Tribolium castaneum: one gene and its partners. The protein of the gene in region 3 purifies or fractionates together with the protein of the main gene of each other region. This does not show direct contact. Links are inferred from orthologs where the notes say so. Each region holds a gene or a part of one and is shown on either strand. Other genes may lie near its edges. The genes, in order: AP-2alpha, spdo and numb.

Region 1 (4,101 bases), on a different chromosome or scaffold from region 3:
GATGTATTTTATAATTCTGAGTTCGTAAACTATTATTATACCCGCCACTGAACCGGTAGTTCGCCGTCATTCAGGTAAAAAAATTTATTATGCACTTACCGTTTTGGTTTTTTCTTTGCATAAAAGTAGTTTCCTCCAGTTGAATTTACGTTACGAGCGAAAAAATCGCTCATTATGTTATCGAACGCATTTTATGGGCAACAGATAGACCGGAACAGTCACTTATAAAATTGTCCTTGTTTGCAAAAAGCCGCATTACAATAAATTGGTCCAACCTTCGACCATTTAAAAATTCAGGATGTTACGACACTTCCATTATCAAGTGCAATCAATGGATTGGTGCAAGTGAACCCGTAATGGTGACTTCATGTTTTACTTACCTTGGGTTGAAATGAGAAGGAAGCGCTTTTGTTTAAATTTTTTAACCGCTGATGTCCGAATGATGGGCATGAAGTCATGCGTAAAATAGTGGTATAAGAACTGAGGTAAAGACGTTACCTAAATATCAGTTCGGATGGAAAAATTAGTCGGGTTAGTAATGAAAAATGTTGACGGTGATTTTTTGTAATTGAAGCATCAATACAACAGAAACACAAAAATGTTAAATAATCGCATATAATGTTACAACAACTTTAGCTTTGAATTCATATATTACACAATATTATTTTTACATAAAGTATCATGCACTTTGTAGATGATATAAAAAATAGGAATACAAAAATGGAATTGCAAAGAGTTTGTATTACTAAATCAATATTTTACTTATTTATACAATCAACATATACAAATAATAATTCAAGGCATACTACACAACGTAATCAGTTATTGTAATAAATGGTAAAAAATATATCTGAGGACAGTAGAAAGTCAACTGTTTCAATAAACTCCTCATCTGAAGAACGATTCATTACCAACTCGTCGACCATCCTCTGGTATGATATAACAATATAACACAAGTTACACGTCTCTAATGATATAGTTTTATTTCATATTGAATTTTTAATATACATTCAAGAAGATCGTTTGACCCACCTTAGTTTTTGGTTTAATTCGAGTGCAGCAGATCTGTCTCAACAAAAAACGTTTATTGTACATTTAATTTTCCGCAATGGACCCTTTTCTTCCGAATAGAGGTCTAATGTTATGAATTCAGCAAAAAATTCATATCTCTATAAATTAACTGTCAACAAGCAACACTAACGTCACACACTTACATATTGTCTCAAAGAACATCCTCTTTCTAATATTTTACTGTAAGCGAATCTCAAACGAAAAAAGAGCGCATGTCTGTGCAAATTTCAATATATTAATTTTTAAACAATAAGGTAAGTCTACTATGGAATGCACTCTTACTTACACAATTTTCTAAATTAATTAAAATTGATCCGCTAGAAGATCACAAATTTCTATCGAGACGCTTTCTTTACTAGAGCGCACCGTCAGTCTGTACATCTGCCAAAAAAAAGAAAACAGTTACGAAATTCAAAGCCGCGGGAACCACTTACTTGTGCACTCTTGTTCGGCTCTAAACGAAGAAGACATCCGACTTGCTGCGACCGCATGTGGATAATCCCAGCACAGACGAAATTATCCGGATTTGGATCAATCCCGTCCAGGAGTTGCATCCCGAATCCCATTATTTTTGTTCGCGCGGCTTGCAAGTCCATCTGCTGTGTCGCCCTAAATATCTTCTGAGATCTTTGCTGGTTCGTACTGCAACAAACAATCAGACCCTGCTCACTGCGTCCCGGAAATTACCTTCCGAGGTTTTTCCACCTTGCGAAGAAGGATTCGCCGTTCATTTCAGTCGGTTCAAAGAACTTGTTAATCGTCAATGGAAGTTTGATCGTTATTTTCTGGGGCACGTTGAGATACAGGAAACTGAGCACTATGCTGGGGGCGCCCGTGTAGTCATCGACACACTCCGCGTTGATCATCTGTTGGATTTGAGCACCAGCTTCCAGGACCGGCTCAACAGGCTTCATCTGAATGGTGAGCTTGGAAGCCTGATCGTCGGGCCAAGACAAGGTCGGGACGAAATTTTGCAACGGAACGTTAGTCTTATTTCCGTAAAACAAGCCAAGTCGGCCCAAATTCTGGCGGAACTCGCTTTTAACGCCTATCTGGATCAAGTCACTTTCGAATAAAACGCCGTTGTTTTTACACACGAACCTGAAAGAACACGATTCAAATAATTACCACCGGGTGCAAACAACGTTTTTACTTCTTGGGGTTGTACATGTTGACCGGTTGAGTGGCACTGTTCGAGTTGTTCGCCTGTTTGCCCCCGTAGATGTCCCCAAGGACGTCCAGGAGCACCCCGGTGTTTCCGGAGTTGGGCTGCGCTGTTGGCGGAGTCGACAGACCCAACAAATCGCCAGAGACAGCACTGCTGTTATTTACATCGTTGTTGTGGTTGGTCACAGGTGTGGGACTTTTGTTCTCCTTAATTTCATTTTCTGGGACCCGTCCTGGTTTTTTCTTCTTCAAAACAGCAAGAATCGAGCTCTCTCGTTCGGGGAACGCCGGCATTTCCTCCAATACTGTGGCCAAAACGTCCGAACTTGCAATAATACTCAATTGCAAATATTCCGAAGCTCGTTGTTGCAATTCGGCGTCAGCCGACCTCAGGTTGCTGTGCTGTTTGAAAACTTCCTGTACTTGAGTCCGTATTTCGGGGAACAAATTGATGAATTTGATGTAAGTCGAGAGTAACAAAGCTCGAGTCATCGGCGAACATAAGTGGTATTTTGAGTGGAGAAGTTGGAATTGAACTGAGGGTGAGGATCTCTGATCCCCGGCGATTAAATTGCCAAACTCTCCCAGGATGTAACCCCCGACTTTGACCATGTTCTCGTGACAGGCGGGTGCTTGCAAAGCCTTCAAAAAAATTGTTAGCTGAATTATGGACTCAAATGAGACCTACTTCAAAGACAGTTTTAGCGGCGTAACCTTGCACTTCATCTCGGTTGATAACGATTTGGATCACTCGATACCACACCTCTTCCGACACATAATCGCCAGCGATTCTTATCAAATTTAAAATAACATCAACATACCTGACAAAAAACGTAAAAAAGTGTTACGAAAATCAGGCTTGGTTTACCAAGTGTAATCCGTGGCGTATTTCTCGGCCAAAATCGCAACTTTTAGGACCATTTCTTCCCTAATTGAGTAATCAGCCGTTTCCAAATAATTCAACATTTCTTGGACGATTTCCTCAGCATTGCTCTTATCACACATAGCGTACAACAAATCAACGGCTTGTTGCCTCACTGAAACATCTTTTTCCATCTTCATCGACAAGATAACAACTTCCTGATGTTTCTTAACAGCCTCGTGGGAAAATTCAGACGTTGCTAAATGACACATCGACTCCAAAGCCAAATAACGTAAATTTGTTTCTCTATTACTCAAAAATTGGCCCAACTGGTTACAAGCACGCACCAACAAATTCGCTTCGCTGTATACATAACAAAATGAGACTTTTCAAATTTCAAAATAAATAAATATACCTGTCATTGTGAATAATTAAACTAATGGCCTCGAACAGTACGGCATTTTTAGCATTTGAGTGTTGCACTTTCTTCGATTTTGGAGGCTCCTGCGCTTTATTCAATATCGTTTCTAGGCATTCGTTCAAGCGGCCGCGCACCCCCGGGTCTTCAGCTAAGAATTCATAAAACTTTGGAGCAAGTGTAACAAAAAAAAGTGAAAAAATGAATCAAGTTTCAACCACGGTCCCTTAACAATTGTTAAGAAGAAAATTATGACAAACGCCAAACCATATACATTTAGTTTTAGCAGTGTTTTTATTTTATTTCTTCCCTTTAAGTACTGAATTTTTTTTACATAAAAATTGTTGACTTAGACGTTTTTCTTTTCAAAATTGCAATTAAAGTCATCTAATCCATTAAATTGTCTATAAATCTAAAAAAAAACAGATATTCCGTCGAAAATTAAGTTTAAGATTTGTGAAGCGTCCTTCTTAACTAAACGATTCCAAAAACTATTATATCATACCTCATTTTACAAAATCGGTTGGCTAGAGTAAGTGTTTCTTAATGGGTGGTTCGCCAAAAAAAAGTAGTGTAATGGCGA
Region 2 (3,651 bases), on a different chromosome or scaffold from region 3:
TTGAACTAGTTAGGTTTGAGGACAGCGTACAATGCAGTTTTTGTTTTGTGCTGTGCTGTTAGCGTAAATTAGTTATGAATACATTTACACTTTCGTTAATGCACTCCCACACCTTGAAAGTGCGCACACTTTCTACTAAATAAATTTAATAATTGTTTGTTTTAATTTTAATTAAAATGTAATTTAACGTTTTGAAAATGTGTCTTTACTCTTCTTGCCGAGGTGAAATAAATTAAGAATTTTTTGTGCTAGCGTGTCCGACATTCACTAATAAATGCTCCTGTCATGAAGCTTACAAAGACATTAAAATTTCTAATTGCTGAATAACTTGTTCGGATTTGATATATAAAGACGTACAAAAATCGTATTTACTGTTAAATGAAAGTAACTAAAAAAGTCCATTAATTTCAGCTCACTTACGAAAAAGTTAAATTACTTGATCGGAATTTGGCACAAAGCTATAAAGCTTGACAATTTCGCCGCGTATCGAACGGTCCAATAAATAAAGCCACTTACATTGTTATAAAACCGTTTATTAGATAAAAACAATCAATACCTACAATAAATAATATTTACAATTTCCAGTCATTAAATAATATAAACCATAATAATTATATTACTATAAAATAAATAAGTGGTTTTAAACCGTGAATCCTGGGACGCTGTGCTCCACCCTGTTGTCAGGTGGCGGATATTTGCAACAATAACTCGTCATGACTCCTGCAGATGCCAACACTAGAGACAAAACGGAAATCCCGCAAACGGCACCGGAAGTCATATCCGCGAGAGGCGTGCCGGGCTTGGGCTGCAGCACAAGCAGCACCAGAAGCCCGGCACACATCAGAAGACTAAACACACTCAAAACGATATACCCTGCAACAATCCCATTACAAAAAATAACAAACCAAAAGCCGACTTACCGGAAATGTAATTCCGGTTGGGCAGCCAGTAACAATTCCGCGTCCGGAACCCCAAAAACCCCAACACCAGACAAGTGAACCCTGCCACAATCCCGAAATCCAGGAAATACAGCCGGCCCATGATGGACACCATGTAGAAGCACAGCCCCGAGGTGACCCCCCCGCAGAGCATCATCATCACCGCGGCCACGGCCAGCGTCACTTGGGTCGGTTTCCTCGGCCCTAAGTTCATCCAAGAGTCGGTTTTGGAGAACGTGGTCTCGCTGTAGACGCTCTGGATGGGGCTGGAGCACATGGGGGCCACGATGGCCGTGTGGCGCTTGTCCTGCGCTTGGCGCGTGTCGAGGGCGTAGTTTAGTTTTTGGCGGGTTTGGCTTTTGCGCGGCGTTATGAAGGGGTCCCGCTGGGGGGATGGAGGGACTCTTCGGTGGGCTTGGGGGGACATTACGGGGGGCTTTTTGGGGGTTGAGAGGAGCTCGTGGAGCTTTTGGGTCGCGATGGGGTTGGAGGGTTTCCGGGGACTTGGCGGTTCGAACTGGATGTATTCGTAACGGTTCCGGGTAACGGATTTTGGCGGGGACTCCTCCGGGATGTACTCGTAGCGGTGGTTGGGCCTGCCTTGGACGAACTCTTCGGCGTAGTGCACTTGCGGCGGTTGTTTTTGGCAGATGATGTAGCGGTTTTGCTCCTGCATGGGGATGTACTCGTACCGGGACTTTTGGTCCTTGGTGGGCGAGGATACGACTAGGACTTTCTTCTGCTTGATGATTCCAGCATCGTCGACGATCATTTCTTCGTAGAATTCTTCATCGTAGTATTCTTCGTTTTCGCGGTACTGGGGCTGGGTTTGCGCCCCGACGGGCGACTGGCGCACGTTTTGGACGATTTGGGAGAGCGGTTTTCCGTTGTAAAATTCACTTTGTTGGCTGAAGGCCGGGTTCGAGTAGAAGTTTTTCGGAAGGGTTCGCGTGGCCATTTTAAAGTCGAAATGCGCTCGCAACCGTCATTTGTAGTCGTTTGGGGCACGGCCCGGTGATGACTGGTCGCCTGGTGGTTGTTAAAGAGCTTGCAGCGTAACGGCAGCATGGGGGACGTACTTATCAAACAGCTGCATATGCCTCGCGTCATGTGGGGTGAATTCCATGGGCGTGCCGCCGGTTTCAAGCCCTCCCAAGGGCATACATTTAATAAGACGATCACGTCTTTTCGGACTAAATGATTTTTTAATGATGAATCGTATTTGGTTTATTTGGGTCATAAACGCGATAAGTACACGGTGGAGAAAAGTCTTACGGTACCGACATTTTTCCGCATAAAGTCACCGGTGGTGAAAGAAAAACGAGGAGTTTTGGAGCGGTTTAATTTGATAAAAGTTGAGAAATGTTGTTACGCCACTGACGGCACGCTCCGCCACACAAACCCATTTTGTGGAATTGTGCGCCGTTTTCTTTGTTGATATTTTGATCGTACATCTGTATATACATTCCACAATCAAACTGTTTAGTTATGATAAGTCGAAGGAAGCCAAACCAATAGAACAGTCAATGTGGAAGATTAGAGGACTAGACGGGTTCATTTTTTCTCGCTGGTGCGCGCTTATCTTGCATCGGAAATGAAATTTGAATTCACTATTTCCGTTTTGCCGGTTTATTCATGATACATGGCACAAATCCCAAGTGTTCTCAAATGTCAACAAATAACTGGTTGAGTGTATTCTATTTAATTATATATTCCACATGAAGCCCAACGTACCGTTCAACGGATGTCTTGCATATTCTCAAGGGTCATTATACATAATGTTTAATATCACATTACTTCGGGATTCTGAAATGCATGACAATTAACGAGGAAAAAAGAAAAGTCTTAAGTGCGTGGATGTAAAGAGAAAATTAAAGTGATGCAACTCGCTTTTTCAACTCGGATATCACTGAAAGTGCATGCCAAGCGACACTTTATTCATAAAATAAATAATAAGTTGCAAACTTGTTTTCACGTGCTTTAATATATCGACAAGTATTTGAGCAATGCTTCAATTAGTTTTATGATTGGTGCTTAAGATAAATTATGATTCGCTGTTTATGCAAAATGGATGCTAAATTTAGCCAGAGATTAGTTTGGAAAATGGGTAAAATTAATTAAGTTCCCAATTTCGCTGGAAGTGACGTCAAGATTTTTTTCATCCGAAAATACCAATTTCCGCCGAGATTTCCGCTTACAAACTTGAGAATACATAATTCTTTATAGTTGTTTCACCTTCTGCCAACACAAAAAAGGGTCCTAAAGCGGTATAAAATAAAACCATTACGTAGGTATTGATAGTTGGTAAAATAGTGGGCTATATTTACGTCGGACCTTCTGATTACAATGTTTATCTAGCTTCTAAAAACAGACACGAAAACGTTTCGTCTGCGTGAGAATTAATTTGAACGCAAACTCAAGCTTTGAAGAAAGTTAAGGTTGTCCCCAGGACGTTTTAGAAAAATTTTTTTTACATCTTTGTAAGTTGTCCTGAAAACGTCGACACACTTTCGGAAATGCCTTGTTTTTTTAATTTGTCAAACATCAATTCCGTTCCAGTGTTTGAATTTGTAGTTCTTATTAATATTAGTTCTCATTTTAATGAAGAAACTAAAATGTGCTATTTTTATAACTGTTCTCCGTTTGCGATACGAAGATCCGCACAAATTTGTGTGGGATTTCCGGTAAAAGACTAAACTGTCTGCTGCTGATT
Region 3 (3,655 bases):
TTCCTCTACCGCTATGAATAAATGCCATAAAAATAAACTTTTTCAAATCAATACTAAGTATGATGAAACCTAAATCCATCATATCACTCCAGAATTTAAAAAAAAATCCACTCCAATCCAAAACAGTGACTACGTCCTATTTTTCCCAAGCCGATAAAACTCAAAGTTGTGATTTCTAATGGAAAAAAGCGCTACTCTATTTTGGAAGATTCCCAAAATTGAAAGACAAAATTCCAAATCATTGTCCCTTACTATTTTTAATTGATACCAGAAAAATTCATTTTGATCAAAAAGATGAGATCTTCCAGTAATAATTTTTGTTAATTTTTTGTTAAGACAACGGCCATTAGACCTCAAAAATACGAAAAAAATGCACTAAAATACTCCTCCATAACCCTCTTATAGCCCTAGTATGTATCTTTGTAAATTTAATTTTTCTTAAACCATCTAAAGAGGCACTGGAGAACGTTAGATTCCACAATGAGCTTCAAAATTTTGCGCATAACTGATTAAGTGCCAAAAAACTTTTGTAAAGAAAAGGATGGCGTATGTGCATAGAGGTAGAAAAAAAATTCGTAAAAAATAGTTTAAAAAGTTTTCGTAAAATTTTATTTCACTAAAAAGTTATAAACAAATTCCGGTTTATATTTAACTCCCCTCGTACTATAAAAAATAACTTAAAAGATTCTCTACTTGTGTCGGTAATTTTTTTCAAAATAAGAAGCAGAAGCTGCATAATAAAGTTGAAGAAGCAAAAAAATATTAATACAAATTATAACAATTATAAAACGAAAATTCTCAAAAAAATTCAGATGTAGATACGTCTCTTCAAAGTCCCCACTTTATTATTCATTTTCTATTGATCTAACAAGATAACTCTATGTTTTCTTTATGAGAAACATAAAATATAAATGTCCAATAATAAAAAATAGACAAGATACGTATTAAAAATAATAATTACATCTCGTAATAATAGGTAGGTAAATGTTGGCACAATGGATATATACAAGAGACAATGAAAAAACACGAGAGGATATCTATGATTTCAAATTCTCGTACTACCACAAGGTGCATCAAGGACCATATGTAGAAATATCATCTTAAAAATTTCACATCTGAACAGAGAAATAGTAAAAAAACAACACACAGTGCAAACTGTGTGATTAAAAATAACAACATAAAAAATAATCTAGACAAAGCGTTATTATTAATTAAAAAAATGAAAGATATAAATTCTCGAATTTGGAGCTACAAAAGCTACAGACCAAGAAATTCTCTATTATTTCTCTATTTACTTAGTAACAAACAAAAAAAAGATCGGCAAAAGTTTTAAAAAATATCGAGCTGCAAAATAGCGTTAAAGAAGCCAAAAAATATCAGAAATATCAGCTTGAAATTACTAAATTCACAAAAATACACAAAAGAAAAAAACTTGAATTCAGAAATACCAGTTTAAAAAATTCTCAAGATATCAACAAAGCATACAAGAATTTTGTTGCTTAAAAAACTTTTCGAAGTAACAATAAAACACACAAAAAATAAGAAAAATTATGGAATCAGTTATGGGAGGAGAAACTATCCAAAGCTCAACTTCAAAAATCTCTACATTTGCAATAATTATGAAGGATCAGAGGAAGAAATAATTATTTGTTGAATTTAAAAAATAGATAGTATATCGGATTACAAAAGAGAGTTGGGAGCACTAAGAATGTATGCAGAATTGCAGAACAGTTTAAAAATGTCTTTGCAACGAAACATAAAAAGCGTAAGAAAAAAATCGACAATGAAAAAGTACCTACAAACTTTTCGAAATATTGGCGAAAGACAGTTGAAAAAATTAAAAAAAAAACAGAAATATCAACTCCTTCAAAAAAATATAAAAAAATGTAGGAAAGAAATTCGTAAAAGAATTCAAAAATCAAACTGTAACAAACAACAGTTAGGAAAGAAAATCCAAAAATAACATCTTAATATTACATTAACAAAAAAAAATAGACTTACAAAAAAACCCAAATCGTAATAAAAAAAATTAATTGGCACCTCTTAACATTTGTGCGAAATACTTAAAAAAAAAGTATACAAAAAAACAGTGACTTTAACAAGCAATTTTCAGAAAATGCTTTTATTTTCTGTCAACTTACTCGAAGCACTTTGAGGGCCTCCTCACACACTTGCATTCCCCTCGATTCGAAAACTTCAACACAGCCTAAATATTTCACAGCGAAAGTGCAAGTTCCGGACCTGACAGCTGATTCATCCGCTTGCCATTGATGAGGTTTGGAACTTTCAGGGACACGATCCTTTCGTCGCCGAAAGGAATCCCTGAAGGACCTCCTTAACCTATCCATTTTCCGAGGAGAACGTAGACTTCGCCTCTGAAATAAATCGAACCCATAAATATTTCGCATAAAGCGGCTGGAAAAATTTATTACACATGCATGTTACATAAGCTGAAAAAACAGGATGGCTAATTTCGTTTGCAAATATTATATGAGCAAACAAATACGGACGCAGTCAAGTCTTATTTTAGCGCAACATCTGATTTTTGATTCGGATAAATTGTTATTAGATAATCGCTTGCACACATAACTCAGAACGATTTTTTCCCATGATACCGCAATAATGGGAAAATGTAACCAAATAAAGCAGCGACTGCCGTTACACCAAGATAAATCGAGTCAAGTTGGCAAAAAGACATCAATAACCAAACACCGGAAGTGAGTGACATCTGGATATCGTATGAATGATTGCGGAAGAAAACGGAATTCAAAATAAAATATTTTAGAATTGATAAACGAGTTGAAAATCCTCTCGAAACTTTATCACCGAGATTCGAGCCATTCATCGCTTTTATCACCTTGTGCGATTATTCCATTGATAAAGTGAACTATCAATTAATTCAGCACTTTCACAAAACTCAATTACTGTAATTAAAACGTAAATAAATGGCGAGACTAAATTAATTAAACATTTAAACTCGAAACAATACGCGTGTTACTTCAAACTGAAACACCCTGTATGTGAAGTTCATTAATAATGAACCACATGCGAAATGATCAGCACATATGGCTGATAATTTATCGCTGATAAAACAAATATTTATTGAGACAAAACGATAGCTCCGATGTGAGAATATTAAAACTGTGTTAATTCACAAACCAGCTGTGATTGTTTTCCTAGTCAGAAAAATTCCCCCATAAAGTTATTTAAAAATCAATTTTGATTAATCATTTAACCAATTACGTTTTGCGTCAGATTCAATCGAAATGTGTTTCTCGAATTACCGGTTCAACCACGTGGTGCGGCTCTCAATAAAAATTTTCTTTAATTATTCAGAAAAAAGCACAGTTCTGTGCAAGGTTATTGCGTCACGACCCGTTAGAATTAATATGCACAACACCAAAGCCAAGATGCCAAGAAATCGAAGTCCTTGAAGGCGCAAAAGTGGGGCTCCTTGCTAGGAAAATCAGCCCGAATTTGGCTGCTAGGGGTTGGTTTGATGTCTTAATTTTGGTTAATCCAAGGTTAAAAACCGGTTAAGTTAATTAAATGCATGGGCGATTTCGCACAATGGCGACAAGGTCTCGCTTCTTGTTTGGCATTTCTCGTAATAATTCAAGTCAACGACTTCTGAAATTTAGTTGCATCCGTAATT

What was found.
Region 1: the proteins of numb (region 3) and AP-2alpha purify together in Drosophila melanogaster (affinity purification with western blotting; 5 studies listed by BioGRID). This does not show direct contact. The link is inferred for Tribolium castaneum from reciprocal best matches to the Drosophila melanogaster genes numb and AP-2alpha.
Region 2: the proteins of numb (region 3) and spdo purify together in Drosophila melanogaster (affinity purification with western blotting; 6 studies listed by BioGRID). This does not show direct contact. The link is inferred for Tribolium castaneum from reciprocal best matches to the Drosophila melanogaster genes numb and spdo.

The regions. Positions count from the first base shown.
Region 1 is NC_087403.1:6,346,393-6,350,493, reverse strand, and holds the end of AP-2alpha (AP-2 complex subunit alpha), read right to left. Parts: intron 3,670-4,101; coding exon 3,516-3,669; intron 3,464-3,515; coding exon 3,107-3,463; intron 3,060-3,106; coding exon 2,927-3,059; intron 2,881-2,926; coding exon 2,225-2,880; intron 2,173-2,224; coding exon 1,759-2,172; intron 1,714-1,758; coding exon 1,506-1,713; intron 1,453-1,505; coding exon 1,375-1,452; 3' UTR 549-1,374; downstream 1-548. UniProt on the Drosophila melanogaster protein: Adaptins are components of the adapter complexes which link clathrin to receptors in coated vesicles. Clathrin-associated protein complexes are believed to interact with the cytoplasmic tails of membrane proteins, leading to their selection and concentration.
Region 2 is NC_087396.1:11,694,577-11,698,227, reverse strand, and holds spdo (uncharacterized protein spdo), read right to left. Parts: upstream 2,352-3,651; 5' UTR 1,897-2,351; coding exon 921-1,896; intron 874-920; coding exon 641-873; 3' UTR 518-640; downstream 1-517.
Region 3 is NC_087395.1:16,788,795-16,792,449, forward strand, and holds part of numb (protein numb), read right to left. Parts: intron 2,376-3,655; coding exon 2,142-2,375; intron 1-2,141.